7 linked regions of the Ovis aries genome follow. The protein of the gene in region 4 interacts with the protein of the main gene of each other region in a pairwise test. Links are inferred from orthologs where the notes say so. Each region holds a gene or a part of one and is shown on either strand. Other genes may lie near its edges. The genes, in order: MORN4, TRIM29, FAM133A, TRIM23, BRME1, GEM and PITX1.

Region 1 (3,400 bases), on a different chromosome or scaffold from region 4:
TAAGTTCTTGGATCTGGAGATGCCTTAGTGTCAGCAAGATCCTGGAAAACTATGTAAATACCCTGAACCTCATCGGTGATAGCAGGATAATAATGGTACCTTCCTCTCAGGACTTACAAGATTGTGCATGTGAAAGGGTTAGCGTGGCAGGTGATTGTGCAAAGAGCTGCCGGAGATAACCAGCAGGTGGGATGATAACCTGTCTCAGGACTTGGGCACCCTGACGTTCAAGATGAGTACTGTGGGGAAAGTGCTTTGGAGCCAAAAAGTCCCAGATACAAATCCTACCCAGCTCTGCCACTCACTAGTTAGGGCAACCTCAGCCTGTCTGCTGTTGTTTGTTTGCGTTCTTTTTAAAAAATTCTGCATGTACCTACCTTGCAGAGTTAGATGATATTTCATAGTAAAGTGTGCAACCCTCAGTTTCCAAGCCTCATCTATGACTAACTTTTAGAAATAGCAAATGGGCCAATATCCATACAGATGTAGAGCAAGAGTCAGGAAAACCAAGTATAGGTAGTTCTGGCGACTTGTTTATTCCTCATAAGCATTTGTTTCCACACTATAACGCAGAGAATAAATAGAGGCACACAACTATCACTTCCACCACAATCTGCTGTTGAGGAGACATTCAGTGTGAGGATAAGGGGCTGGGGATGGGGTGGGGCATTTGGGGATCCCAGGGTAACTGGAGGCCTCTGTGATGAATTGTGCAGGAGTCCAATCAATCCAGATCTGATCCCTAGGCCTGATGGCCAAGGCTCATGGTGGAAGAGTTACAGTGACCAAATGCTCTTTGAGTTCACTGCCTTCCCAAGATGGGTCAGATTCTACCTGAACCCCAAGGGGTTGAGGTGGGTCTGACCTACTGGTCCACTGAGGAGGAGCTGTGTCAGCCCAAGCTATCCTGGAGGATTCAGTTCACTCCATGACAAGGCCTGATGTGACCCAGAGATGTCTGCCCTTGACTTGGAGTAAGTAATATTTACAAGCTATAAGATGACTGTTTACATCGATTTCTTTCTGACTAAAAGGATCCTTTCCCATGTCTAAGGAAGGAGAGAGGGGCACAGATTACCTGCTGGAACTTAGGGTAGGAAGACAGCTTGTAAGGTCAAGGGAGAAGAAGACAGCACTTCACTGAACGCTTCACAGGGGCAACAAGCAGACACAGGACCAGGCTGGTCAGACAAAGCGGGAGGCCTGGGGCCGTGATGTCAACCAGGAATGCAGGGCAACATACAGAAAAGCTCTGGCCTTGACTTTCATGGGACCGCTATACTGTCAAGCCCACCCCTATTGTTTTCCTCATTTCTCACAGAGCACTGAGCACTTGGCCCTCATCTGGGGCTGGGATCACCTGCACCAAATAGAGGCAGAAGGAAGAGATTCTGCATCACTTGGCAGAAAATGAAGGAGAAAGGCAGCAGCCAGTCTGCCCCGGGTGGTCTCCGGTGTTAGGGACAGAAGTACCAATGAGTAAGAGAGGGGAAGGACACGCTGAGCGGCCGCTGCTGCAGTGGCCAGAGCCCTGCCTGGCGGGTGACAGGCCCCTCCCGGGGCTTCTGCTCCACGGTCATTTTCGCCTCCTCTCACGTTGGGTTCATCTGTCCACCCTGAGCGGGTGGCGGGCGTTGCTGTCAGCCAGGCACAGCCCCCGTCAGGCAGTGAGGCTCCGGGCTGACTTGGAGGCGCTCTGGGCCCGCTGGACCACCGCCGAGCACTTCTCACGCCGCAAAAGCTTGTTGTTCTCGAACAGACCTTCATTGCGGGGTATTCCATGAGAACCATCAGGGAAAGTCAGCAGGCCTTTGGGGGGACAGAGAAAATAAGGGTGTGACAGTGGCATTTGTGGCTCGGAGGCCAGCTTGCTACGTTGGAGCCAAGGAGAGAAAATTTGCAGCTCTTGGGTGCTCAGTCCAGGAACACAGCACTCTGTATTGCTGGGTGTCCACAGAAGGATTAAAGCTGCAAAGGTGTCCTGCCACCCATTTACACTCGCCTTAGTCACCTGTCCTGCTGGTTGGCAACTTACCCAAACCATCCACTCTGCCGTTTTTAAATTCTCCCTCAAAGGTCATGTTGTCATGTCGAATGAAGACTCCGACGCCGTTGAACTTGCCCTGGGCAAACTCCCCCTCATACCTGGGGAAACGCGAGATGTCAGCCTTCAGGATAACTGAGTCAGGCAGCTACCAACACCAAACGCTAAGGAGCAAAGCTGATTCCACTCTTCCAGAGCTCCCCCCACCCCGCTCACCCCATCTTACCCAGCAGAGAGGAGTCAGAGAGCCCAAATGATCTGAGGCTCTCATCCCGAGGAAACAACCAAAGAGCACAGTGGTGGGCTGAGAGGTCACTGACCTCCTTGCCATCTCAAAGTTTAGAAGTATTTATAAAGTAACCAGTAAAAGAACGAATGCTACTCCTTGCCTGTTTTCAGAGAGTCAGGGACAAGCTCAGATTTGACCAGGTGTTTCTCCCTATCATTTTTAGATCAGAGCTTCCCTTCCCTCGTCTAAGGTTGGGAAAAGAATGACCAGGTACCCACCTTGAGCCATCTGAGAAGGTCAGTACCCCGAAGCCATTAAAGAGCCCATTCTCAAAATGGCCCAGGTAGGTGCCACCATCTGCAAACATCAGTTGACCAAAACCATGTCTGCGGCCTGAGCAAAGAGAAGACGGGTGTCAGGTTGGGATGGGGCAGCTTCAGGGTCCTCTGTCACTGTCTAACGTCCTTTGCCTTGCATCACCCCACCCACAAAGGAAAGAAGAGAAACAGTGACATTAGCAGGGCAGAGAACCATTGCCCAGAGTAATAACTTGGCTCCAAGGATCGTTGCAGTGAAAAGGAAAAAAGAGCAGTGAGTTTTTCTTTCCCTTTCCTGAGATCAAAGAAGATAAAGAGAACAGTGAACAGGCCTGAACACTCCCAGTTTTTACTTTAACTTTTCCTAATCTGTCGTCTGTAACTGAAATTGCTTTTCTGCCCCCGAACTCTGCATGAGCTACATTTTGCACCTATTATCCTCTGCATGCATGCGGGCTAAGTCACCTCAGTCGCGTCCAACTCTTTGTGACCCTATGGACCATAGCCCGCCAGGCTCCTCTGTCCATGGGATTCTCCAGGCAAGAACACTGGAGTGGGTTGCCATGCCCTCCTCCAGAGGATTGAACCCACACGTCTCTCATGTCTCCTGCACTGGCAGGCAGGTTCTTTATCATGAGCACCACCTGGGAAGCCCTTGACTCTGTGCTACTTACATCCTGTATCTGGTGCTTACCTTATAGCACTCTCTCTGCAAACCACCTCTTGTAGTTTTTCTCTTTTTACATATCAGAAAGAAGGGGCAGGGCCACAGGACGGCCAGACTCAATTACTGGGATACTGATGCCAGCC
Region 2 (3,720 bases), on a different chromosome or scaffold from region 4:
CTCCTAGAGCAAGGCCCCCCCACCTGGAGAGACTGTGGACCGCCAGGGAGACCCTGAAGAGCAGGAAAGCTCTGAATCACACCTAAGGGGGGCCATCTTTCCTGCCTGGTGGCCTTTGATCCAAGCTTGACCAGAGAGCAGGGAAGGACCTGCTGTAAGCCAGATAGGCCAGAGCAAGTCCCTGACCTGGGGATCCTGCAGTCTGGGACCCTGTAGTCATAACCCCTTGTGGGTAGATCCCAGAATCCCAGCCCTGGGTAGAGTCCAGGACCCAGCCCAGAAGGGGCAGCTGGATAAGCAACTGTCTGAGGCTGCTGCCTGAGGGTCCACCTACACCTTTCCCACCCGAGCCCACCAGCCTGCTTATCCAGGCTCCTAGGCCAGATGTCTGCCAGGTGGAAGGCAGATAGACCTGCTCCCTCCACCCCCAGAGCTGCCCCATGGACCTTTAAGAAGAGATGTGAGGGCTGTGGGTCCACTGGGAGCTGGGGTCTGACTCAGGCCAGCCCCTTGAAATGACCTCAACTCCAGGGGACAGGAGGCATCGACCACTCAGTCTTGTCAAAGAGCTCTGGGGGCAGAACCAGACTCGGGAGGGAGGCCTTCGAGATCACGTAGTCTGCCCGGCCCAGAGGGGACTTGGCAGGACTCTAGCTCTGTGGGAGGCTGACAGGTGCTTGGGCCACAGGGTTCTAGAGTCCCCTGAGGCTGGGAGTCACCAGGTGACAAAGTTAAATAAACTTTCTGCAGTAGGAAGACTCGAAATTAAGCCTGATGGAAGCCCCCGGGGACGTCGGGGCACAGGATACAGAGAGTATGGTGTGTCTCCCTCACCCCCGACACTGAGGCCTGTATCACAGTGCATCCCGAGGGGCCCGCGTGCGGTGGCCCAGCCCTCCTGACAGCAGAGACCTGATGGAGGCAGGGCATGGTGAGCAGAGACCAAGGCAGGGCTTACAGAGCGCCCAGAAGACAAGGGCCGGATGAGGGTGAGCTCACCTTTCAGGGAGAAGGAGGAGCTGCCTGCTTGCACCGCAGGCATGTCGTCAGAGCTCTGAATGGTGGAGGAGTATTCCCAGACCCGGGAGGTGTAGTTACCTGGTGGGGAAAGGAAGAAGAGTCAGCCCAGGGCGGCCTGGCTCGTGGGGTGGGGGGTTGGGCAGTGAGCAGAGGCCATTTCTGCAAATCCCTCCAGGCAGAAGGCAGCTGAGTCCTCATCACACCTCTGACCAATCCTTCCTGCCATTAAGCTGTCCTTCTAAGGCATCGTCCTGTCCTTGCTCTCAGATGCTCCCACCCTTCTCCACCACCTCCACTTCCTGGCTTCCCCCTCCCCTCTCCCGCCCTCACTCAACACCCCAGCCAGGCTGTGCCCTGAGCTCCTGACGCACACCAGGCTCGCTCTAGCTCCAGGCTTTTGGCACAGCCCAGGTCCTCTGCCTAGGAGAGTCCACCTGCTCCCCGACACTTAGTAAATTCACGCATTGGGTCTTCTGGCATCAGCTTCCACATCATCTCCCCCAAGTCTGCGTGTGTCTCAGCCGCACGCCCCGTATCACACTGTAATTACACGTTGAATGGTCCATCTCCCCAGCTGGCTCCGTGGGGGCAGGTGGTGTGCCCGTCTGACCCAGCCTTCCACCCAGGGCCCGGCACTTAGCCTGGCTCCTGGAAGGCGCTCACGGTCTGGCTGATGGATGAATGAATGAGTGGAGGAACAAATAAACACAAACACAAGCTAAAAGCTGGAGACGGAGGCAGCTGCTACAAGCCCTGAAATTCTGTGTGGAGGGTGCAGCAGGCTGTGGTGCTCCATTTGCAGATGGATATAGAGAGGCCTAGGGACAGTGGGGCAGGGACACCACGGGGGCATTCGAGAGCCCCCCGCCTCCCGCATGGAGAGCTGCCCACTCCAAACCCTCCCTTTCAGCAGCTCTGAGCACAGCGGCTCTGCTCCGTTGAGCTCACGCCACAGAGGAGCCCCCCAGCCCTGGAGATCTCCTGCTGCTGCCTGGGGGGGAGGGGGTCAGAGGGCAGATGGGGGTCAGGCGCTGGCCGCCTGCCCCATCATGAACCCTCGCCCATAGGGATCTCTGACAGTCTGCATTAAGGCTGTCACTAAGCATGTCCACCCAAGGTTCCAAGGGGCCGTTTTCTTTGCCCTCTCATCCATCCATTCATCTCCCCCTCTTCCTCCCATTAAACAAATGTTTGCTGAGCCCATCCTTCTGGACCCTGAAGTGTTAGTGGGGAATAGGACAGACCCAGCATCTGCCTTCACGGAGCTCACAGCACAACGAACCCAATCCTGGACATAGAGGCCTGGGCACTGCCCTGTCCACGGTGCCCCAACCCCCAGATCTCTGGATCTACCAACACCCCCACTTCCTTCCTTGCTTCTCCAGACCGCTGGTGCTGTGTCCCCAGGGACTCTGGTGGAGCTGGCCCAAGTCCCCTCCCCATCTGCACATGGCACACACCCAGGAGCCCCCCAAATCTGGGTCCATCAAAGGCTGGGCCCTGCCCTCGGCAGAGCAGTGCCCTCCGCACTTTGGGCAGAGGAGGGGACCCTGCGCTTGGCAACTCTCCCTGGGGAAGCACGCCTCCACCCTCATTTCACCCCTTCCGGGTCTTAAGGGCAAGTCGCCCACTTACCTCCCTGGCAAACATGCCTCCTGGCTCTCCAGGGATGGCCTGGCCCGTAGCACACCTGACTTTTCCTTGCCTGCTTCCCTAGTCTGTTTTAACCAGTGTCCGACTTTCTGACACAGGAGTGCACAAATCAGGAAAGGTCCCCTGTGACCCCTGGCCTGCCACCTGCTGAGGGAAGTCCTCACACACCTCACCCTGGGGTCCGCTTTCCCCAGCTCATCCTTCAGGGAGAAGACCTTACAGACCCAGGGATTCCACTGATGCAGAGGTGCCTGGCTGGCTTTCCTCAGCCGAACGATGTCACACACAGGCGTGCACACAAGCACATGTGCGAACCACACAGACACACATACACCTGAACACCCCCTGAGCTTGGTAGGATCCCTCCTCACCCATCTCCAGGCCAACCCCACTCCAGCTCCCCAAGTCACCTCGTATGGGGAGTCCCGCTGCCCATTGCCCAGCCCCCGCCTGCTGCCTGCATGGCCCCACACAGAGGCCCTGCCACCCTCCCGCTGAGCCGCCTCCCACCTTTGGTGCCGTACAGGTTGCTGAAGTTCTTCTCCTTGGAGAGGCGGCTGGGGGAGGCCGGCTGGTACGAGGTCCTGGCCCCACCTGTGAAGGGGATGAGGAGGGGGCTGTCATCCCAGAAAGGGGGGCCTGGCTCAGCCGGGGGCCTGTGGCTCTGACTTGAGGGGTGTCAAGCAGGAATCCTTGCCCCCCCAAAACAGCTTCACCTGCCTGGGTCAGGACCGGGGTTCAACCACCAAGATAGCGCCCTTGGGTCTAGGATAGGGTGACCACGTAATTTACCATTCATATCGGAGCAGAATTGAGAGGGATGATGCTAGTCATCAGGCTGAGGGTACCAGTGTAAACTTGGAGAGTCTTGAATGGACTAAGATGTATAGGCATCCTAATTAGAGACTTTGAGGGTCACCAGAGCACCCCTGCGCCAGGCCCTGCATGCCGAGACCCCAGAGGCTGGGTGAGAGGGTGGGGTGCCCGTGAGGAAGCTGGGCCAGGACCACCGTGGGGGCGGAGGTGCAGTGAGGGCTGCCAGCTGGG
Region 3 (4,431 bases), on a different chromosome or scaffold from region 4:
CTCTTGTATAGTAATAGATTGATTTCAGGATGACGTTATCATGCAAAGTTTGACCAATTTCAAAATCTTCATCAAGGATAGCATCTTCTCGTGGTTCAAGCTTTCCGATAGTAGGAATCTCAGGAGGGCTAAAGATATTGAAGAATGATGCATCAGGAACCACTCTTGGCTGGGTTTCAACTTGTCCAGTAGCTGCTGTGCAACTCTGGGTGGTTGTCATTGTAACATCCTTTCCTCTTCTCCAATCTTACAGCCTTTGCAATCTTGGATTTCCCAGTCCCAAGAGAAGAAGGGATCATTGTGATCTGGCTTTGACTTTATTATATATCTCTTGGTCAGCACCTCATTCTTGAAGTATGGATTGGGTAGAAAGCAAAATTCAAATGTGTAACTTACAGGCCTGCTGGGTTTTTAAAACTTCAGGCTAACATCAGACAGAAGTTCAGAATGGGCTCATCATACTTCTGAATCATGGGCCCCAGCTTGTCAACATTCTTGAACACAGTCAGCCAATAGTCAGGAATGCCTTTAGGATCTTATCTTTTAGGCTTTCCTTTTCGAGCTCTTTTAAGAGCTCTATCTTTAGGCGTGACCTCAGGAACTCTTTTTGGAGCCTCTTTTCCTGGAGTCCTTGCCTTAGCCTCTGCTGCTTTAGCCTGCCCTTTATCTTCTGCCTTTGCCTGGAGGGCTTATTTTGGATCTTCTTTTACTTCAGGCCTGGCCTCCAGAGCATCTTTGGACTGTGCTTTTTCTTCAGTCTTTGCTTCGGAATTTTCTTTTGGTGTTACATTTTCTTCAGCCTTGACCTCAGGTTTTGCTTCCAGGTCATCCTCTTCTTCCTCACTCTCTAAAGCAGGCATCTCACTAGAGTCTTCCTGCATCTCTTCATCGCTGCTGAACACCTCATCCTCCGAATTCCATTCACATTTTTCTTCCGTGGGCTCATATTCTGCATTGATGATTTGGAATCGCCGGTTGTACAGAGCCCTATTGAGTTCGGCATATTTTCGTTCGAGATCATGAACTGCCTTTAAGAACAGGGCGTCTACCTTGTCACATTCGTCTTGAATATTTCTGAGAGCCTGCACACGATTTCTAACCGCCCGAGGCAGCTGATCCACGAAACTTCTACCTGACGGAGCCCGCCTCACACTTCTGGAGGGCCCAGGTACACTTATACGTCTATAGAATGGGCTGCGGCCACTGCTGCTACTGCAACTACTGCTGCTGCTACAGCTGCTGCTGTCAGATTCGTCCCCAGAATCGCTAGACGAGATAGCTACCATCTCTCCATCCACCCCCTGGGCGGCAGGTTCCGAGACCCTGTTAGGATCCGCTTCTGCCATTCTGCAAGTCTGCAAACCTCTTAGGTGGTCACTACCGCGTGCCCAGAGATGGGTAGAAAATGACTCACGGATGCTTGGGTGGTGGCGGCGGAAGCCGGGGCTGAGGAAGTGGCAGCGGTGAAGGCAGCAGGAGCGCTGGGCGGGGCGCGGCTGGGCCGAGGTGACTGCACCGGAGGTGGCGGCGGCAGCGGAGGCCTGGGCGACAGTGGTGGAGGCAAGGCCTCTCTGACCTGCAGCTGCGGCGGACTGAGGTGTGACGCAGCTGAATATCGCACTGCGAGAGCCCGAGATCTCTTCACTGCTTACATCTTGAGCCCCCTCCCCTCGCAGTCAGACCTCCAGTTCCTTTAGTTCCCAGTGTGCCTTTAGCTCGCACCTCATTTGCTAGACAAACTTGATTGACCTTGATTGACAATGCATCAGCCCAATAAGTGCGCAAGCACACCGCCGCCTCTAGGCTCCGCCTTCCTTTCCAGTCGCTCCTTGGTTGCTGAGGCACACACCACTGAAGACTTTTTTCCCCTTAAAATTCTGTCTTTATAGTTTTATAATTTCAAAAAAAAAAAAAAAAGCTTAGATATGAGGTAAAAATACTAGTCATGGTTCCTAACAAGGGAAGAGGAGTACGCTCCCATCCACTCATCCTTAATTCCCATTTGGTTTGTCAGGGGCCTCGTGACAAAAAGCTGTTCTTAAAAAATTGGAAGAAAATGCTCCAAATGGCATCATTGGATAGTATGATTATGGATTTCTTTTTAAATTCTCTTTCTTTTATCTGAATGTCTTATGAGCATGTATTTTTACACTGGGTAAAAAGGGGGAGTCGTTTATTGGCGAAGGGGGGAGGGGCTAGAAAGCAGGCATATTGAATTCCACGTAGCAGCTTTAATAAGTGCTGTTTGTGATGTTTGGCAAGCCTGTTTTATATCCATCTACAAGGTTTGCGAACCCATGTTGCCGTGAGTCAGTTACACCATTTTTTTTTACTGTATTTCTCTTTTTAATCTGACATGTCATAGACCCTGTCCTTGCTGGTGATTTGCCACGTAGTCTTTCTCCATGCTTTTAACAATCTTGTAGATAAAAAGGATAAACGGGCATTCAAATGTTAGGTAGTAGTATTTAAAAGCAGATGGTTTATTCTATACTTTTGTGGCAGCAGCTTTTAATTTCACGAATAGCAGGATGGGAGGGGGAATGTGTTGATGAAACTGCATCCTCTGTCAGGGTGTACTTTACAATGGCATCTGCCACCAGTTTCCTTCTAACATTGTACAATTCTAGCCATACTGAAGTATGATTTACAGGTTCAGTAATAGATGAATACACTTTTGCAAAATGAAGTTTAAAAACAGGTATCTGTTATTTTTATTTACAGGATTCTTTTCTGCAACAGAACGACTCCCTTGGTACAACCAAAAAGACCAGTGTTTACTTTTCATTGAAAGGTAAGGAACATATTTAGCCCATTTTTATGAATGACAAGAATTACCTATCTATATTTAAATAAAAATTCACAAGATGTAGCCTTTTATTTGGAAGATATCTTGTTAGTTCCATGGAAGCAGAAAAATCCACAGAGGTGATTTGGAATACTAATGTAGAAAATAACCTAATTAATCACATTCACTTTTCTGAACTTGCTCATAGACTACAAGTAACAAATTAAAATATAAAATATGATGAATTATTCATTTCAAATGAGGAAAAGTATTAAAGTTAGATTACCTCTTATCTTTCCTTTTTATTACAGAATTTGTGCTTATTTAGTTGTATTTTTTAAGTTAGGAAACACTTTTATTTCTATTTTATAAATGAATTTACTTTTATTATTTACTCCTGATTGTCAAAGTATGTAAGTATTGTAAGGAAAAATACAGCATAGAAAATTTCAATGGTAATACAAACACAATCAAATGATAACCACTGTTAGAATTTTGATGCATTTTCTTCCAGAATTTTCTTTGTAAATATATACATATGCCTGTTTACACATGCTGTTTTATCTATGTGACATCATATTGTGTTTTGTAATCTGCTTATTTATCAATTAATTGTGGCTATATTTTCACAGTAAATGGTTGAACATCTCATTTTTAAATAGATGCATATTCCATGAAAATATTTCCCGTAGTTTAACCAGATTCCTATTGTACAGCAGCTACTTATACTACCTCTCTACTAGTAGACGTATTTTTCCTGTTAGAAAATAGTTATCTCAGATACCTACTCTATGCACTTGTAAAAATTAGCCATATGATGAATTCCTAGAAATGAGAGTCCTGAAATAAACTGCCTGATCATTTTACTCTTTGATACATAGTGCAAAACTTCTCTCCAGAAAAAATTATCACAATTTGCAATTATACCAACAATGCATCAGTTCATTTATTTAGTCATTCAACTATTATATTTTTGTGCCTGCCATGTGCCAGGCACATGTGGTAGAGGAAGATGATATAAGTCTCACTAAAACTTACTGGGTGCATATCCTTTCATTTTTATAATTTTAATTAAAATATATACTATAGAAACAATGATTTAAATCAATGAAGCTATGCTGTAAATATTGTTCTATAAATTATTATTTTCCCTTAAAATGATGGACACATTTTGTTAATGAAGGAAGTTATATTTTATAGTACTTTAATGGTTTAATATACATGTTAAGTTTTGTACCAACAAGAATTAGTATTTTGGTTCTTTTTTAATTTTTTAAATTTTTTTATTTTACTTTACAATACTGTATTGGTTTTGCCATACATCAACATGAATCCACCACAGGTGTACATGTGTTCCCAATCCTGAATCCCCCCTCCCACCTCCCTCCCCATACCATTTCTCTGGGTCATCCCAGCACACCAACCCCAAGCATCCTGTATCCTGCATCGAACCTAGACTGGCAATTCATTTCTTATATGATATTATACATGTTTCAATGCCATTCTCCCAAATCATCCCACTCTCTCCCTCTCGCACAGATCCAAAAGACTGTTCTATACATCTGTGTCTTTTGCTGTCTTGCATACAGGGTTATTGTTACCATCTTTCTAAATTCCATATGTATGCGTTAGTATACTGTATT
Region 4 (3,720 bases):
TATTTATATTTAATTATTGTTAGGTAAACCCTTACTGTTGTCATTTTGTTTATTTTCTGCCTAACTTGATACTTTTTTTTGTTTTACCTTTCCTCTTTCATTGCCTTTTGTGTTTTATTGATTTTTTTTTTAATGTCATGGTTTGAGTTCCTTCTCATTTCCTTTTGTTTATATTCTATGGATTTTTGTGTGTGTGTTTGAGGTTACCTTTACAATTACATAAAATATCTTAGTTGTAACATTCTGTTTTAAATTGATAACAATTTAACTTCAATTGCATAGAAAAATTCTATTTTTCCAGAGCTCCACCCCCTGTACTTTATATTATTGATGTCACAAATTATATCTTTATATACTGTACACTTATTAGCACAGGCTTATAGTTTCTTTTAATGTGTTTGTTATTTCATTTCAATGAAGAATTAAATTTATTCACCCAAATTATAATAATGCAGGTTACTATTTGTTCCTGTAGTTATTGTTACCATTTTGGATTTTCATATGACTTCGTATTGCTGACAGCCTTTCATTTCAGTTTGAAGGACTCCTTTAGCTTCTCTTATTGAACAGGTCTAGTGATCCTGACTTCATCAGCTTTGTTTTTCTAGGAAAATCTTTTTTCCCATAATTTTTGAAGGACAGTTTTGCTATATATAGAATTCCTGGTTGAAGCCTTTTTCTTTCAGCACTTTGACTGTATCATCCCATTCCTTCTGGTCTGCAGTGTGTTTTTGCTGAGAAATTTGTTGATAGTCTTATGGAAGCTCCCTTTCTGTGATTAGTCATTTTTTCTTGTTGCTTTCAAGATTATCTGTTTTTGAATTTTGACAGTTGGGTTATAATATATCTTAATGTGGGTCTCTTTGCATTTATCATAGTTTGAATGCATTGAGGTAGGATTTTTATATCCATTTCTTTCCTCAGATTAGGAAGTTTTCAGCCATTATATCTTCAAGTAAGATCTCTTTGCCCCTTTATTTCTGTATTCTCCTTCTGGGACTCCCAGTCCGATGTGTCTCTTAGGGTCTTTTCACTTTTCTTCATTGTTTTTTTCTCTTCCAACTCCATGAGTCCAAATTACCCATCTTTTAAAAAATTAATTCTTACAAAAATCCTATGTAAGTTTGGTCTATTTAAAAAAATTAGTTGAAGGCTAATTGCTTTGCAGTATTGTGTTGGTTTCTTCCATATATCAACATGAATCACTCATAGGTATGCATGTGTCCCCTCCCTCTTGAACTTCCTTTCCACATTGCTACCCCATCCCGCCCCTCTAGGACTTTAGTCTATTTTTAATGCCCATTTTATACATGGGTGAGGTGAGGCAGAGTAGTCATGCAGCTAGAAATTGAACAAGTATGTTCATTGCAGTATTACTTATAATATAAAAAAATCAGAGAGATCAAATATTTGTCAGTGGGGATTGGTCAAGTGGTAAATGGAATATAATAAAGCAATTGAAAGAAAAAACGTAGTTTTATATGTTTGAAATGAAAGGATTCCGTAAGGTACTATTGAGTGTAAAAAATTAGTTGCAGTGTGTATTTTTTTTTTTTTTTAAGTGTGTCTGCTTTGTGTATGTCAACCAGTGTATGATGCACAGGAAGATGTCTGGAGGGATACATGTGAAATTGTTAACAGTGAATATTTATAGGAAGTAAACATCACTTTTTATTTTTTATTAATATATTTAGCACAGCATGAAAAATCTTATTTAAAGAAGATTCAGTTGAGCTAGAAAATCTGGGAAAAATAGGTGTGTGTGTGTGTGTGTGCATTTTTTAGCTTACATAGTATGTAGAAAGTTTTACTAAGCCAAGATTTAACAAAGCAGTGAGGAAACATTTCCTCTTTGTAAATATCAGAATCAGGGTATTTTAATATGGGAATAGAACTGATTTTAATGGATTGAGGAATGAGTAGGAGACAAAATAATTAACAAAGGTATTTTATAAATAAAAGTGTAAGTGCTAGTACTTTGAACTCCATAACAAAATAAAAAGATTTATTTTTTTAAAAATTATAGGACAATAGAGTTCACATTGGACCCAAAATGGAAATTCGAGTTGTTACATTAGGATTAGATGGTGCTGGAAAAACTACTATTTTGTTTAAATTAAAACAGGATGAGTTCATGCAGCCTATTCCAACAATTGGTAAGTATGCGTATTGCTTTTACCTTAATGAATATTTTATAGGAAAAAGCCCTAACTTACAGATGAGTTCTCAGGGCCTTACTTTATGCCCACTTGATGTGGAGATTGTCTGTAAGACATCAGCATTTCAGAGGAAAAATGCAAGGTTCAGTGACTGTGGGATTGAAATGTGGATTGAGGGGGGATAGTAAGAAAGAACAAAATATTGGTGGGACAGTTGGAAGGAATAAAATATTGATGACTCTGGCTGAAAATTAGGGATGAGGAGGTGGTAGTGTTGCAGAGCTGGTACTCAGCTGTCAAGGTCTTAAGGACTCTATTAGATTAGAGGGCTAACCCTGGTTAAAGGTATACATTTCCTCCATGTATGTTTATTACAAGTGGAGTTGGTTAGATAGTGCTGTATGAAGATGATTTGTAAGTCACAGTTACAATTGGGGTTGCCGGTTTTTGGTGTGTCACTCATAAGTCAGTATTAAAGTAAGTTGGTTTTTTTTTTTAAAACAGGTTTTAATGTGGAAACTGTAGAATATAAAAATCTAAAGTTCACCATTTGGGATGTAGGTGGAAAACACAAATTAAGACCATTGTGGAAACATTATTACCTTAATACTCAAGGTAAGAGTGTAAAATTACATCTTAATTTTTCAGATTTTTAGAATGTCAGTCCAGTTATCAGTGCATTGATTTAGCTAATAAAGCTGATATTTTAGAGTTGATTAAATATATGACCATACTATTACATATTGGTAGCACGCCCAACACTATCAAGAAAATTAAGCTAGATAGACTGAGATATGTACTCTGGTATATTTCATGAAAAACTATAACTTAACATAATATTTATCTTATACATGTAAGCAATTAAGGGTACTTTCCTCTTGGTATTCTTAACACAGAGTATTATTAGTGTTCATATGAGTATGCTGCTGCTGCTAAGTCGCTTCAGTCATGTCCGACTCTGTGTGACCCCATAGACGGCAGCCCACCAGCCTCCTCCATCCCTGGGATTCTCCAGGCAAGAACACTGGAGTGGGTTGCCATTTCCTTCTCCAATGCAGGAAAGTGAAAAGTGAAAGTGAAGTCGCTCAGTCATGTCTGACTTGTAGCGACCCCATGGACTGCAGCCTACCAGGCTCCTCTGCCCATGGGGTTTTCCAGGCAAGAGTACTGGAGTGGGTTGCCATTGCCTTCTCCAGGGCATGAAAGTGAAAAGTGAAAGTGAAGTCGCTCAGCTGTGTCCGACTTGTAGCAACCCCATGGACTGCAGCCAACCAGGCTCCTCTGCCCATGGGGTTTTCCAGGCAAGAGTACTGGAGTGGGTTGCCATTGCCTTCACCGTCATATGAGTATAATCATTGGCAATACTGTGGTATAGGGTAGAATCTGTGGTGTATAGTTCTGTTGCTCCATTCAATTCAATTCAACTCAACATTTATCCCATTATAACCTCTCAATAGCTCCACTCCTTTATTTCCATTCACAATTAGTTATCATTAGCAGAAGAACCCATAGTGGTTTGATTTTAACCAAACTGTTATGTGACATACATTCCACTTAGCAT
Region 5 (4,170 bases), on a different chromosome or scaffold from region 4:
TCTCTAGCTGTGATATGAAAGCTTCTCACTGCAGTGGCTTCCCTTTTTGCGAAGCACAAGCTCTAGGGCACACAGGCTTCAGTAGTTTTGGCTCCAAGGCTCTAGAGTGCAGGTTCAATAGTTCTGGTGCAGGGGCTTACTTGCTCCACGGCATGTGGGATCTTCCCAGACCAGGGCTCGAACCCCCGTCTCTTGCACTGACAGGCGGATTCTTTACCACTGAGCCACCAGGGAAGCCCTTACACCAAACGTCTTTGATCTGTTGATTTCTTTCCTGCCCTACATCCTACTCTTGAAGTTCATTAGTCACTAGGTGAAGGGGTCATTCTTAAATTTTTAAGAAATTTAAATTCCTTAGCCAATGACAGGGGAATGGAGCTATACCACATAATACTGGATGTTTTCCTTCTGAACGAGGCAATTCTCTATGTATATTGAGAGGTAACGATGATCTTGAAAACCCATGAAGTTGAAAATCAGAGGTTGCATATCAGTATGTTGATAATTATATTTATCCAATAAAAACACTGTATTTGTGTATATAAAGAAAAAGTCTGGAAGAAGTACGGTACTGAGATTTATTTCTTGTTTTTTATGCTACATGATGCGGTTGATCCAGGCTTCCCTAGTGGCTCAAGTGGTAAAGAATCCAAGTGCCAATGCACAAGACACGAGTTTGATCCCTGGATCAGGAGGATCCCCTGGAGGAGGAAACGGCAACCCACTCCAGCATTCTTGCCTGAGAAATCCCAGGGACAGAGGAACCTGCGGGGCTACAGTCCACGGGGTCGCAAAAGAGTCGGACAAAACTGAGTGACTAAACAACAACATGGCTGACCATCATCCTATGGTTGTGGGTGGCTTTACCATTAGCGGAAGGCGAGGAAAGGGTAGACTGAACTCTGAAGTATTTTTACAACTTTTCTGTAAGCTCAAAATTGTTTCAAAATGAAAAAGAATAATAATCTGAAAGGACAATCATAACAGCAGCATATATCAGCGTCCTGCCGTGCGTCTACTCTCAGTGCTTCACAAATGCTAATTCACACGTGAGCTCTAGGGCAAAGTTCTCAGCTTTGGCACTACTGACATTTGGGGCCAGGTCATTCTGGGCTGTGGGGGCTGTCCTCTGCGTGCTATGATTTTGAGCAGCCATCTCTGCTCTTGACCCATGAAATGCCAGTACCTCCCACCCACCCAAACAAACACACCAGTTGTAAAACCCCACAGTGTCTCTAGGGACTTCTCTGGTGGTCCAGTGGTTAAGACTCCTGCTCCCAATGCAGGAGGTTCAATCTCTGGTCAGAGAACTAGATATCACGGGCCACAACTGAAAGATTCCACATGCCACACTTAGGACTTGGCACAGCCAAATAAATGAATAAATACTTTTAAAAAAACGTCTCTAAATATTGCCAAATGTCCTCTGGAATCAAACTGCTCCCTGCAACAGGTTGAGAATCACTGTTCTAAAGGACAGGGTGGGGAGGTGGGAGGGAGGTTCAAGAGGGCGGAGACATACTTGTGGCTGACTCATGTTGATATGTGGCAGAAACTAACACAATATTGTAAAGCAATTATCCTCCAATTAAAGATAAATTTTTTAACATTTTTAAAAGAAAATAAAGGAAATGGTATGTGCTCTTTATTATCTCCTACTTGCAGGAGGAAAGTGAGACAGAGTAAGTTATCTGCCATCACACAGGGAGATGAACCTAGGTCTTTTGCTTAAGCCACATACCAGCACATCAAGCTCTATTCACGGGTCATCTCTGAGAGTGGACCTGCGTAGAAGCTGCACCCCTCCCTGAAGCCTGCAGGCCTCCCCTAGGCTGTGGGATCCCACTACAGGCTGGAGGAAGCTTCACAAAGCTTTCACTTTTTACTATAAGCACTTCTCCATAACTTATACTTGGACTAAGTCATCGTGTGTATTAAATCATTGTTGTTATTTTAAGGAGCTTGGTGTGGTCACCTTAGCATTTCTGCAATAAGCCCACATTCCTCCTAAAAGCAGAAGCAGCAATAAAGATGTGTCAACTTGATCGTCCAAATACCTGAAGTCCGAAGCTTCTTCCTCTTACTCATTTTCTCTCTCCCTAGAGAAATCTGAAAACAAGGAGCAAATCTTATCATTACAAGCAGTTCCTGTCTCTCAGTTACAAGACCCAGTGGCCTTGGCTGAGGCCACCCCTACCAGACCTAGACCTATCTGGCTGCCCCAGGGGTCAACAGAGCCCCAGTAGGGCAGAGGATGGGAATCATAGCTACCTTGGGCTACTCGGCATGTGAATTTAAACTCCTCCATGCTGCAGAGAGGGAACTGCCTATTTTCTGCCCAGGATCTGAGAGCACCTGGGCCGGGGTATGGCCCCTCTAGTCTCTAAGATGGGGCAGCCTATGTGAAGCTCCCTTCCTCCAGGCTAGGGTACTTGGGACCCTTCCAGGGACACCCCAGGATTTTCGAGGTGACACATGGGGCCCTGCAGGGTCATCTGAGGGCTTTAGAGGGGAGACCTGGGACCTTTCAAGGGATGGGGAGGCCCTTTGGAGGATGCCTGGGGCCTTGGGGGAGGCCAGAGTCGCCACCACAGGTCCATTCCTTCCAGCCTAGGAGCCAGACAAGCCCAATCTGACCTGGGTCAGAGTTGTTGAGGTCCCTCTGTCGTTACCAGGAACTAGGAAGGTCTACCTGGATCTGCTGGGGGATAATTCGGTTATTTCCGTAACGTTTTTTTTTAAAAAACAAAGGCAAAGTTGTCCCTCACGGAGGCCGGGCAGCTCGAGGTCTGAGGCCCGAGTGCTGCGGACCTTGCTTCTGGTGACCAGGCCCATCCTAACCCTACCCTGGAGGCCGAAAGCGAGAACTGCCTAAACCAGGAAAGACCAGAACTCGCAGGTGAACCGGCCACACCGTGAACCCATGGGCCGCCACCAGCCCTCACACCTGCAATCGCTCCGCCCCGCGCACTACAAGGCCCTGCCGCGCACGCGCTATGCCGGAACCTCCCTTCTCCACTTGCGCACGCTCCGCCTCTTTCCCGCGCAACCTGCGGCACCGCCCATCGCCGGCAACGCGCCTGCGCATTCGCGCACTGCCTGCCGGGAATTGTAGTTTCTGTGTCGTGGGGCCCGGCAAGTCCGGTGGCTGAGCTCCGGTGCCGCGGCGCCCGAGGGCCGAGGCGGAAGTGGGGCAGCCACCTGGGGGCCGAGGGCGTGGGGTCGGCGGTCTCGAGGCGCCGACAAGGGGCGTGGGACTCAGGAAGGGCGTGTGCGGTGCCATAGGCCCCGGGGGAGGAGGCAGGGCAAGACCAGGCCAGGGGTCCAGTGGTCCGAGTAGCCAACCTGGAAGATGCACAAGAGGAAGGGACCCCCGGGACCCCCGGGCCGAGGCGCCGCCACCGCCCGCCAGGTGAGTCTGTATCCCATGGCCCCGCCGAGGTATCCCATCCCACCCTTGTCACACGTTCAAGGGAGGGCCCCACCCCCCAGGGGAACCGGCTCTCCACTCCCAGGTGAGCCCACGTCCCCGCCCCCTAGGTTAGGTTTGACCCCCACAGTAAGGCCTGTTGGCCCGGGCTCCCCAGCTCCTGGCGCCCCGCCCAGGGCTCAGGGCCACCTGTTGCAGTAGCAGCTCCAGTCGGGGAGGAGAAGGCCTTGAACCTGGGATAAGAAAGACAGTTATGGCTTTCCTGGACTGAGCACTGTGGAACCCTGGCATCAGCTTGGCCAGGTCATACTTTTTTATCCCCATTGTACAGATGAGGACACTGAGGCCCAGAGAGGTGAAGATAACTGTCCAAGGTCATAGGGATCAACTGCTTGGCCAGACCTAAGGGCAAATCCAGTCTGTTTGCTGTGAGCCCACAGAATTGTGGTTGGGCACCGTCTCCCTCCCTTATTACCTTTTTCCTAGGCACTGGGAGAGTTTGATTTTTCTCAGCTTTGATGGAAGGAGCTCAGGCCAAAACTTAGTGCCCAGGTATTAGTCTGGCTGACCTGAAGTTCCCTCCGGGCTTCTCCGTATTGGATACTTGGCTTCACACCTCTAAGCCTCAGTCTTCTCATCTGTACAATGGAGGCCTTAAGAGTGTATGTCACAGGATAGCTGTGAAAATTCACGACTATCTGTGATAGTTTACAGAGAGTGCTAGAACATAGCGCTCAATA
Region 6 (4,456 bases), on a different chromosome or scaffold from region 4:
GAAATGAAGGGACCCATCCAGGAAATTGTGACCCTCAGGCTCTGGTTGCAGCACTGCCAGTTACTGCCTGAGTGGTAGTCATCCCCCTGGGTATCAGCTTCCTCACATATAAAATGAGGAGGTTGGGCCCAGGGCACCTGGGACCAAGAGAGCTCTGGGTTGCCATTCCATCTTTGCCAGCGTGGGGCCTGGCATGTCTCAGCAGCTGGTCACTTGGATAATCCCCAGAGCATGAAAATGCTGCAGAGTAACAGAGAACAGACTCTGTTCACAGCAGGGTCCAGCCACTTGAATAGATGCTGGTGCCTCTGGCTGTTTTCCGGGGCCACCAGCCCATCCAGAGATGCAGCTGGCTGGAAAAGCAGATGGGTGTGTTGGAAAGGCCAGTGTCACCTCCAAACACAGTGTCTGGGAAATGCCCGTGGCCTGCCAAAGAGGTCACTGAATCCCTCCAGCTGGGGGCACAGTGCAAAGAGCCAGGCAAGCGGAGCTTCAAGTCCTGATGCTGCCACATACATGAGCTGCGTGACCTTGGGCAAGCTCTCTGACTTTGGGGGTCATTTTCCTCCTCCATATAATGGGAGCAGCAGTATCTTCACCTTGCAGAATTGTAGTAAAGTTTGAGATACTGCAGAGGTCTAACAGTACCTACTAAATATAGGAACTCAGAGACACTCAGTAAATGATAGAAGTGACTGTTTCTGTTATCTTGTGCCCTTTTTTCACAGGCATCATTCTTGGGACTGGAACCCAGGCTAAGGCTCCTCGCATGGCCAGAGGCCCTGGCCCCACGGCCAGGACCGGCCATGCCAGGGAGCCTGGTACAGGAGATGCTACTAGTCGGGATGCTGATTAAATTCCCTGATCCAGGAGCCTCAGCGTCCTGGTCCAGGGCAGGAGGGCTAGCCACATTGAGCACAGTCTGCTTGGATCCCTACTTAAGCTATTTTTTCAAGACCTTTTCAAGGTCTTGCCCCCTTGCCCCACCTTCCTCTGGCCCCTTTTCTCTGGGTCCCGGTCAGAGAAGGGAGACAAGCAGTGTGGGTATCCCCTCCTTCCCTCATTCACCGGGAAGGCGACAGGAGCGGGCAGAGGCCGTTTTCCTTGCAGAAGATGCGGCTGACACAAGCCCCGAACACTTCCATGGGGCTGTAGCCCCCTGTTTTGTTTTGTTTTTGTTTTTTCTTTTGGCGAAACTGGGTTTCCAATCCCAACCTGCCTCTTCCTCCATCCTTCATCCGGACAGCTCGCGAACTGTTTTGCTGGAAAGTGCAATTAAGGGGCACTTCGTGTTTTGTCTGCCCCCTTCCAGCGTCCGCCTGGTCAAAAGAACAAACCAGAATAAAGGAAGCCGGGATTCAACTGTCGTTATTTTTTTTTAAAAGGGGAGAGAGGCGGGGGTCACATGACGGCGAGTCACCGATTTGGCGAAGGGGCTGCCCCTCGGGGCTTGCTGCAGAGCCGCCCGGCCCCCAAACCCCGGGCGGGGGCGCTGACGTCACGGCAGAGCCCGGGCCGCGCGCGTATAAACCGCGGGGCGCGGGCGCGGGCGCACCCGGCGCAGTCACCCCGCGATCGGCCGCCCGCATCGCGGCGCGCGTCCGCTCTCAGCCGCACCCCCGGTAAGGCGAGCAGCCCGCGGCGGGGAGCGGGGTCCTCCGGAGAGGCGCGGGGGGCAGGACTGGGGGAAGGGGTGGGCGTCCGCAGCCCGCGGAGAACTTTCCAAGTGGGGAAAAGAACCTTCCGGACCTGCTGTCCGGCGCGGTGGTCTTTCGATCGGGGGTCGGGGGGGTGAGGGGTGTTGCAGAGTTTAAGGGGCGAAGGATGCCATTCGGCGGTGGCGGGTTGCTTTCGTGCAGTTCAGTTGGAGGGTCATCTCCTCCTCCAGACTGTGGTCGGAGGACAGCCGTCAGGGATACTTCAGGCACTGGTTGTTTGAAGAGTCGGCCTACCGGAGGCGCTGCTTGTAAGATTAAAAAAAAACAAACCTACAAACCGATCGGTCATCAGGGTCATCGAGGTGAGGGTCGCGGCTAGGGTCATCGACGTGTTGGGGTTCTGGGGAGTGCGTGCGGGAAGGGGAGGGTCTCTCGCTCACCGGTGCATCTTGCTGCTGAAAATGAGATTGCTTCTGCTTTCTGTCTGAGAGTCTGGGAGTCCAGACCACCGGGCAAGGGGAGGCAGTCTTGAGAAAGGCCAAGCTGTAGCCACGTTGTTGAATGTCTTTCTGGAGGGAGTCTTGGACCTGATTGGCTTCAGGAAGGTGGAAATCCGAGCTGATGGAAAGGAACTCTTGGAGTGGACAGAGTTTAAAAAGAGTGAAGCACTGTCTCTGCAAGTTTGACAGCTCTGAACGTGAGCAGGTCCTCTCCCTGCCAGAAGGACAAGGCAGAGGGATGGGTTAAATGTGATATCTGTGGGCAGGGGGCAGAAGTGAGGCATATACCTATTGCAGAAATTCTTCTCCCCCTCAAATAAGAGCATATTCAGGCATCAGGGCAACTTTACTAAACATGGAAGTTCCAATCAGCCCTGGTCCAATCCAGCCGGGGGGGATGATGTCATTGTCACGTGTTCCCCACTGAGGCATAAAAGCCTGCTGGGTGCTGCTGCTACTTAAGTGCCATGTTTAGACATCAGCGGCTAACCTGGCCAGCTGGTCCCCAGCTGCATTAACTTGTTGCTTTTCAAGCCTTCTCTAGAGGCTCTTCGTGCCTTCTGGCTGCCTCTGTGCCCGCTCTGAGTGGGGAATCCCCAGGCTTCCTTGAGGATGGAGGAAGCCCCAGGGCAGTGGGCGATATTAACGGTACCTTTTCCTCTTTGCAAATGACAGTCTCCCTGAGGAGCTGCTGTGTGTGTGTGTGTGTGTGTGTGTGTGTGTGTGTGTGTGTGTGTGTGTGTTCAGTTGAAAGCCTGTTGGGTTTGGGGACTGCTTCACTGGTGTTCCTTGTGTGAGGGTTACTTGGTAACCTCACATACTAAAATATCACTGATGACTGTGTTCGAGCTCCCTGAACTCATGCTTCCTGATGCTACCATCTTGGCTGCTTTGCCTTCCAGGACCTGACGATGACTCTGAACCATGTCACCATGCGCCAGGGCACGGCGGGCGTGCAGCCGCAGCAGCAGCGCTGGAGCATCCCTGCCGATGGCAGGCATCTCATGGTCCAGAAGGAGCCCCCGCAGTACGGCCAGCGCAGCCGTCCCCCCACCGCCCCCGAGGACCCCTGCCGCCGGAGCTGGTCCTCCGACTCCACGGACTCAGTCATCTCCTCCGAGTCCGGGAACACCTACTACCGGGTGGTTCTCATCGGGGAGCAGGGGGTGGGCAAGTCCACTCTGGCCAACATCTTTGCGGGTGTCCATGACAGCATGGACAGCGACTGCGAAGTGCTTGGAGGTAGGTGGCCCGGCTCCGGAGGGCTTTACGGGACAGCAGTGGTCCAGCAGGAAGAGTGAGTGGGTGGGTCATTTGTCTGCAGAGTTGGGAAGTGCGATTATGCCTTCTTGGCTCTGCCTGGGGAGCCGAGTCCCCACAGACGTGCTGGCATAGGCCTCTGGGACAAGAAAGTGAAAATGCTTATAGATAGAAGCTGGGCCAGAGAAGGAATTTCTTACATTCCAGCTCTAAAGGGACCAGGGAGACGGTTTACGGAGGGTGGAGCCGGAGGGTCAGGATCCCACCTCTGGCTTTTGCCAGTTCTGACCTGGACCTTTCAAGCACTCAGTGTAGAGACAGCCTTTTTCCATGGTGATACTTAAAACCAAGCCAATTAGAAAACTGTTAAGATGAATTCATTAGTTTGTTCATTGCAGTATTAGAGGCTTTAGAGGGTATAAAATTGTTTAAAATCTCTATTTTCAATAGCACAATATTTAAAAAAGATATTGAAAGTTAGCAATGATGATACTTAACGTTTGTAAGTATACTTACGGTTTTTCAATTTTCCATGGATAATCTCATTTAAGGTATTTATTATTTAGGCCTTGGTTTCCAAAACTGATCTGAGATGATACAGTCTCAAAAAAATCACATATTCCTCAAGTAAAGCATAGCACTGTATTCTGGGAAGTAAAATGAGGCTCCTGTAGTCGATGGTTTAAATTCAGTGTCTTTCAGCCACAGGATCTTAGACAATGCCAGGGTCACTGTATGTCCCTGTTTGCAGTTGTGGAAATGAAGTAAGTGTGCTTGTCCCAGTGACATGGTCTGTCTGAACGCTCAGTTGCAACTCACTGCTGAATCACAGATTTCAGGAGTAGGAAGATGCTTTAGTGATGACACAGTTCTGCCCTCTGCTTGATGCACAGAAATCCTACTCCTTCCTCACTGCTGTCAGCCCATTTCTACTAAACATCTATTCTTCCTTTGTCTGGGAGTTCATTGCTTCATGAGGCAGCTCCGGAACCTGCTTTAAATGATGACTCATTGATAGAACATTGATTTTTCTCCTCA
Region 7 (3,720 bases), on a different chromosome or scaffold from region 4:
TCATTGCTAGCTCTGTGTGGCCTGGAGCGTTGGTTCCAACCCCAGTAAGCCCCCTTCCCTTCTTTCCTCATGTCCCATCATCTGGTGAGGTGGAGGCTGAAGCAGCAGTCAGGGATTGCTGTGTCCCATGTCAGACTTGGGAGCTGCAGCACAGTGCAAGTCAAGCCTTGCCCAAGGTCACACAGCAAGAGCCAAGGGAACATTGAGTCCCTGCTCTTATTCCTGAAAGAGAGCTGCCTCCTGTCTCATGTGTGTGTGTGTTGCATCTGTGAGTGTGTGCAAGAAGCCCCTATTCTGCCCAGGATAGCGGCCAGGGGAGAGAGCACCCCAGGTCCCTTCTCCAGCCAGCACCCGAGATCAGGCCAGGGCCTCCTCTGGATCAGTTCCTCACCCCTACTCCTTCAGCGCTGACTCTAGTGGAGAAAACACCCCTGGGCAACCCCCACTAGTCTCAGCCCCTCCCTAGGGCTCAGGGCCCCGGGATATGGAGCTTCACCCGCAATAGTCTGAGGACCTTTCAGTCCACACAGCAGGCATCAAGATTTCCAAATATAGGGATTGTGACTACTTGGAGCACTGCCAGAGGCTTGGATCTGGAGGGGCACACAGCAGGTGCTCAATAACTGCATTAAATGCATCAACAGTGAGGGACACAAGTCCCTCAGACTGAGTAGCTAGAGCTGCAGAGTCGCAAAACAGTCCCCATCCGCGGAACGCCTGACTCTTTAGACCCTCTGGGGAATGTGAGTTGTGATGGCCAGCCTCTGGACGCCCAAAGGCAGACCATTCATTTCACGACCCCTCCCAGAGGAACACTGTGCTTCCCACCTTGGCCTGACACTTGGTGGGCTTAGAACACACCCCTCTCAGCCAGATTTCGCGCCAGACAGCATCAGTGTTCTGGAGCTCAGAGGCCTGGTTGTGTGTACATGTATGTGACTGTATTCAGCACTCCCCTGTGTGGGCGCAGTGAGTATGTGTGTGTATGTGTGCACAGCACACCTGTACAGGTATGCAGTACATATAAGTATTTGCATGCTTCTGTGATCCTGGCACGCTGGGTGGCTCACTGTCCCTTCGAAGTAAGGCAGCTACCAGGAAGGTGGCATGCGGAGGGGCACTCACTGGCATGGCATAACACCTAAATACATCCTTGAAAGGAGGTATTGCTCCTTTAGGAGATTCAACTGGAAACTGTGGTCAAAGATGGGGCTGAGGCCAAATGCTCAGCAACCACTGTTCCCTGTCTCCAGGTACCCCTCCCCATCCCCTACACACCAAGTATGCTTTCTCCCTGGGGGTCTCAGCCTACAGGAAATTCCCTTCGGAGAAGTTAGAGCCACTCCCCCAGCCCAAACTCCTGGATGCATTCTGCTGTGGCCCCAGCCTCCGAGTTTGCCCCCTGTGGTCACAGGCACCCAGGGAGAGTGGGCTTGCCCTAGAACTGTGCTTGCTCCCCAGGACCCAGAGCTGGGGGCCTTGGACTGGGGCCAAGGGAGTGAGAGGCAGGCCTGGTTCTACCCTGCCCACGCCCCTGCCCCCACAATCCTCACCAAAGAGCTCAGCCTGGGGTGGAGGCAGGTGACTGCCAGGGTGATAGGGAGCCAGGTGAGGAAAGGGACTCCTAAGGGTCCCAGAGCCTGACAGCCTGCACAGTCAGCCCCAGGCAGAGATCCCAGGAGAACATTAGGATGCCCTGGGCCCAAGCGTGAGGCACTGGGCCTGGAGATGACCACAGTACTTCTCCGGGCCTCACACCCCACCCCCACCACCATCCTGCCCAGTGCTGCTTCTGTCTGGTGGAGCACACAGAAGAGGGGCAAAGGGCACCCTGGGGTCCACCTGTGGCTAGAGGAACAGGTCAGGGCTGCACCCTACCATCCCAGCGGTCACCTATTTGCTCAAGACTCTGACATCTCAGGACCAGTTAACAATTGTTAAGCAAAATCCTTCAACAAACTTCAGTGAAGTAGGAGGATTCAAGGAGGGACTCATTCTAAGGGATGGGAAGGGGAATGTGTTTGTGCTCATGGAGTGCCCACTGGTGCTGTAGCTTAGCTACCGTTGTAGCTAAGAGAAGCTCCAAGACTGTCCTAGGCTTCCTGGCCTGTTTGGAAACTGCAGTCACCTGGCCTGTCGGGCCTGTGCCTGCCACACTTGAGAAGCCAAAGTGAGGCCCTGCGAACCTGCTGGGAAGGGGGCAGAGAGAGGCCCACCCTGTGGTGGCCAAGGCCGGGACCTGGCGGATTTGGCCAGACCGTTGAAGGTGCAAAACAAGGGGAGAGAAGAGGCTGTGGGGGCCTGGCAGGGCTCTTGGGGTCTCCTGCTGCACTCGACAGCGGCCTGGAGCCAACAGAAACGTTTCGTCTGATTAGAAGCCATCGGTTCTATCCCAATCCCGGAAAATTGACTGCGGTGCAGAGGGGGTAGGCCTGAGAAGCAGCCTTGGGGGAGAGGGTCCAAGCTAATTAGGAGGCAGCATCCGGGGGCCCATTAGAGCGCAGGCTGCTGTCACTCAGCCTGGCTCGGGTCCCGGGAGAAGATCCCGGGGAAGGAGGGGCCGCGGCCCCTCGACGAGGACGCCGCTGGGAGCTGCCGGAACGAGCCCCGGGCTCTGCCCCCGCCCTGGCGCTGACTCGCAGGCTCCCGGTCGGTTGGATCCTGCTCGGTGAACGTTCACTCATCCCGGGCTGTTCTCGCCAGAGGCTCGGAACTTCGAGGCGGCCCAGACAGGAGTTGATTTCTGAGCGAAACAAGTCATTTGGGGCTTGAGGTGGGCACGAGCCGCGCGGGGCTTGCAAGCCAGATGCGTTTCTTTTGTGCGGCCGAGGGAGAACTCAGTGTGCCACCGGGGAAGGAGGGTGAGGCGCGGCGAGGCCGCGGGAGGGGGGAGGCGGCGGGAAGGTGGCTGCGGAGGGGGAGGGCGCGGGCGAGGCAGGCAGAGAGGGAGGGAGGGCGGCAGAGAGGGCGCGGCGGCGCGGGCGGCTCGGGGCTGGATTCCGCCCGCGCTCCCTCGCTCTCTCGCTCGCTCCCTCCCTCCCAGCCCCCTCCCCCGCGGGCCCACCCCACCCACCACCCCTGGCGCAGGGACTGCTGGAACCTGGCGGTGCGCGCTGTCGCTTTAAGACAGACTCTGCCGGCGCCGTCCGGAGCCTTAGAAACCGGCCCCGGATCGGGAGCCGGAGCCGGGGCCGGGCGGGCGGCTGAGGCCCGAGCGGCAGGAGCGCAGCGCGGAGCGCGAAGCCGGGCCCCCGGGTCGCGAGAAACCGCTGCCGCTGCCGCCCGCCTGGCCCCGCAGCCCCGGGCGGCCCATGGGGCGAGCGCGGCGTCGTTGCGGGCGCGGGCAGCCCTGGGGGGCAGCCGCTTAGGGGCTGCGCTCTTGTCCTCGCAGGTCGCCGCCGGGGCGGCCGGGCGCGCCCAGCCCCGGCCCCCGGAGCGCCCGCCTCGGTCCCCGCCTCCATGGACGCCTTCAAGGGGGGCATGAGCCTGGAGCGGCTGCCAGAGGGACTGCGGCCGCCACCGCCGCAGCCGCACGACATGGGGCCCGCCTTCCACCTAGCCCGCACGGCCGACCCCCGCGAGCCTCTCGAAAACTCCGCCAGCGAGTCGTCCGACACGGAGCTACCAGGTAAGAGCGGCTCCCCGCGAGGCGCGCGCGGAACCACCCGGGCGAGCAGGGCCGCGCCCCGCAGGCGGGCTCGCTCTACGCTCCAGGCGCGT

The links.
Region 1: the proteins of TRIM23 (region 4) and MORN4 interact in binary tests that used the Homo sapiens proteins (3 or more experiments, as listed by UniProt). The two-hybrid records come from large-scale screens. The link is inferred for Ovis aries from reciprocal best matches to the Homo sapiens genes TRIM23 and MORN4.
Region 2: the proteins of TRIM23 (region 4) and TRIM29 interact in binary tests that used the Homo sapiens proteins (3 or more experiments, as listed by UniProt). The link is inferred for Ovis aries from reciprocal best matches to the Homo sapiens genes TRIM23 and TRIM29.
Region 3: the proteins of TRIM23 (region 4) and FAM133A interact in binary tests that used the Homo sapiens proteins (3 or more experiments, as listed by UniProt). The two-hybrid records come from large-scale screens. The link is inferred for Ovis aries from reciprocal best matches to the Homo sapiens genes TRIM23 and FAM133A.
Region 5: the proteins of TRIM23 (region 4) and BRME1 interact in binary tests that used the Homo sapiens proteins (3 or more experiments, as listed by UniProt). The two-hybrid records come from large-scale screens. The link is inferred for Ovis aries from reciprocal best matches to the Homo sapiens genes TRIM23 and BRME1.
Region 6: the proteins of TRIM23 (region 4) and GEM interact in binary tests that used the Homo sapiens proteins (3 or more experiments, as listed by UniProt). The two-hybrid records come from large-scale screens. The link is inferred for Ovis aries from reciprocal best matches to the Homo sapiens genes TRIM23 and GEM.
Region 7: the proteins of TRIM23 (region 4) and PITX1 interact in binary tests that used the Homo sapiens proteins (3 or more experiments, as listed by UniProt). The link is inferred for Ovis aries from reciprocal best matches to the Homo sapiens genes TRIM23 and PITX1.

What each region holds. Positions count from the first base shown.
Region 1 is NC_056075.1:18,623,590-18,626,989, forward strand, and holds the end of MORN4 (MORN repeat-containing protein 4), read right to left. Parts: intron 2,865-3,400; exon of another isoform or gene 2,667-2,864; coding exon 2,552-2,666; exon of another isoform or gene 2,497-2,551; intron 2,146-2,496; coding exon 2,036-2,145; intron 1,810-2,035; coding exon 1,661-1,809; 3' UTR 516-1,660; downstream 1-515. UniProt on the Homo sapiens protein: Plays a role in promoting axonal degeneration following neuronal injury by toxic insult or trauma.
Region 2 is NC_056068.1:30,407,694-30,411,413, forward strand, and holds part of TRIM29 (tripartite motif-containing protein 29), read right to left. Parts: intron 3,268-3,720; coding exon 3,184-3,267; intron 1,099-3,183; coding exon 1,000-1,098; intron 1-999.
Region 3 is NC_056080.1:140,888,100-140,892,530, reverse strand, and holds the start of FAM133A (protein FAM133A), read left to right. Parts: upstream 1-1,520; 5' UTR 1,521-1,930; exon of another isoform or gene 1,931-2,081; intron 2,082-2,236; exon of another isoform or gene 2,237-2,458; intron 2,459-2,724; 5' UTR 2,725-2,794; intron 2,795-4,431.
Region 4 is NC_056069.1:14,074,600-14,078,319, forward strand, and holds part of TRIM23 (E3 ubiquitin-protein ligase TRIM23), read left to right. Parts: intron 1-2,026; coding exon 2,027-2,156; intron 2,157-2,663; coding exon 2,664-2,774; intron 2,775-3,720.
Region 5 is NC_056058.1:10,105,344-10,109,513, reverse strand, and holds the start of BRME1 (break repair meiotic recombinase recruitment factor 1), read right to left. Parts: upstream 2,988-4,170; 5' UTR 2,693-2,987; exon of another isoform or gene 2,638-2,692; intron 2,110-2,637; 5' UTR 2,089-2,109; coding exon 2,058-2,088; intron 1-2,057. Other genes in the region: CC2D1A (coiled-coil and C2 domain-containing protein 1A), read left to right, coding at 3,353-3,412. UniProt on the Homo sapiens protein: Meiotic recombination factor component of recombination bridges involved in meiotic double-strand break repair.
Region 6 is NC_056062.1:82,965,913-82,970,368, forward strand, and holds the start of GEM (GTP-binding protein GEM), read left to right. Parts: upstream 1-1,553; 5' UTR 1,554-2,770; coding exon 2,771-2,806; intron 2,807-3,060; coding exon 3,061-3,400; intron 3,401-4,456. UniProt on the Homo sapiens protein: Could be a regulatory protein, possibly participating in receptor-mediated signal transduction at the plasma membrane. Has guanine nucleotide-binding activity but undetectable intrinsic GTPase activity.
Region 7 is NC_056058.1:44,096,411-44,100,130, reverse strand, and holds part of PITX1 (pituitary homeobox 1), read left to right. Parts: intron 1-3,391; 5' UTR 3,392-3,459; coding exon 3,460-3,628; intron 3,629-3,720. UniProt on the Homo sapiens protein: Sequence-specific transcription factor that binds gene promoters and activates their transcription. May play a role in the development of anterior structures, and in particular, the brain and facies and in specifying the identity or structure of hindlimb.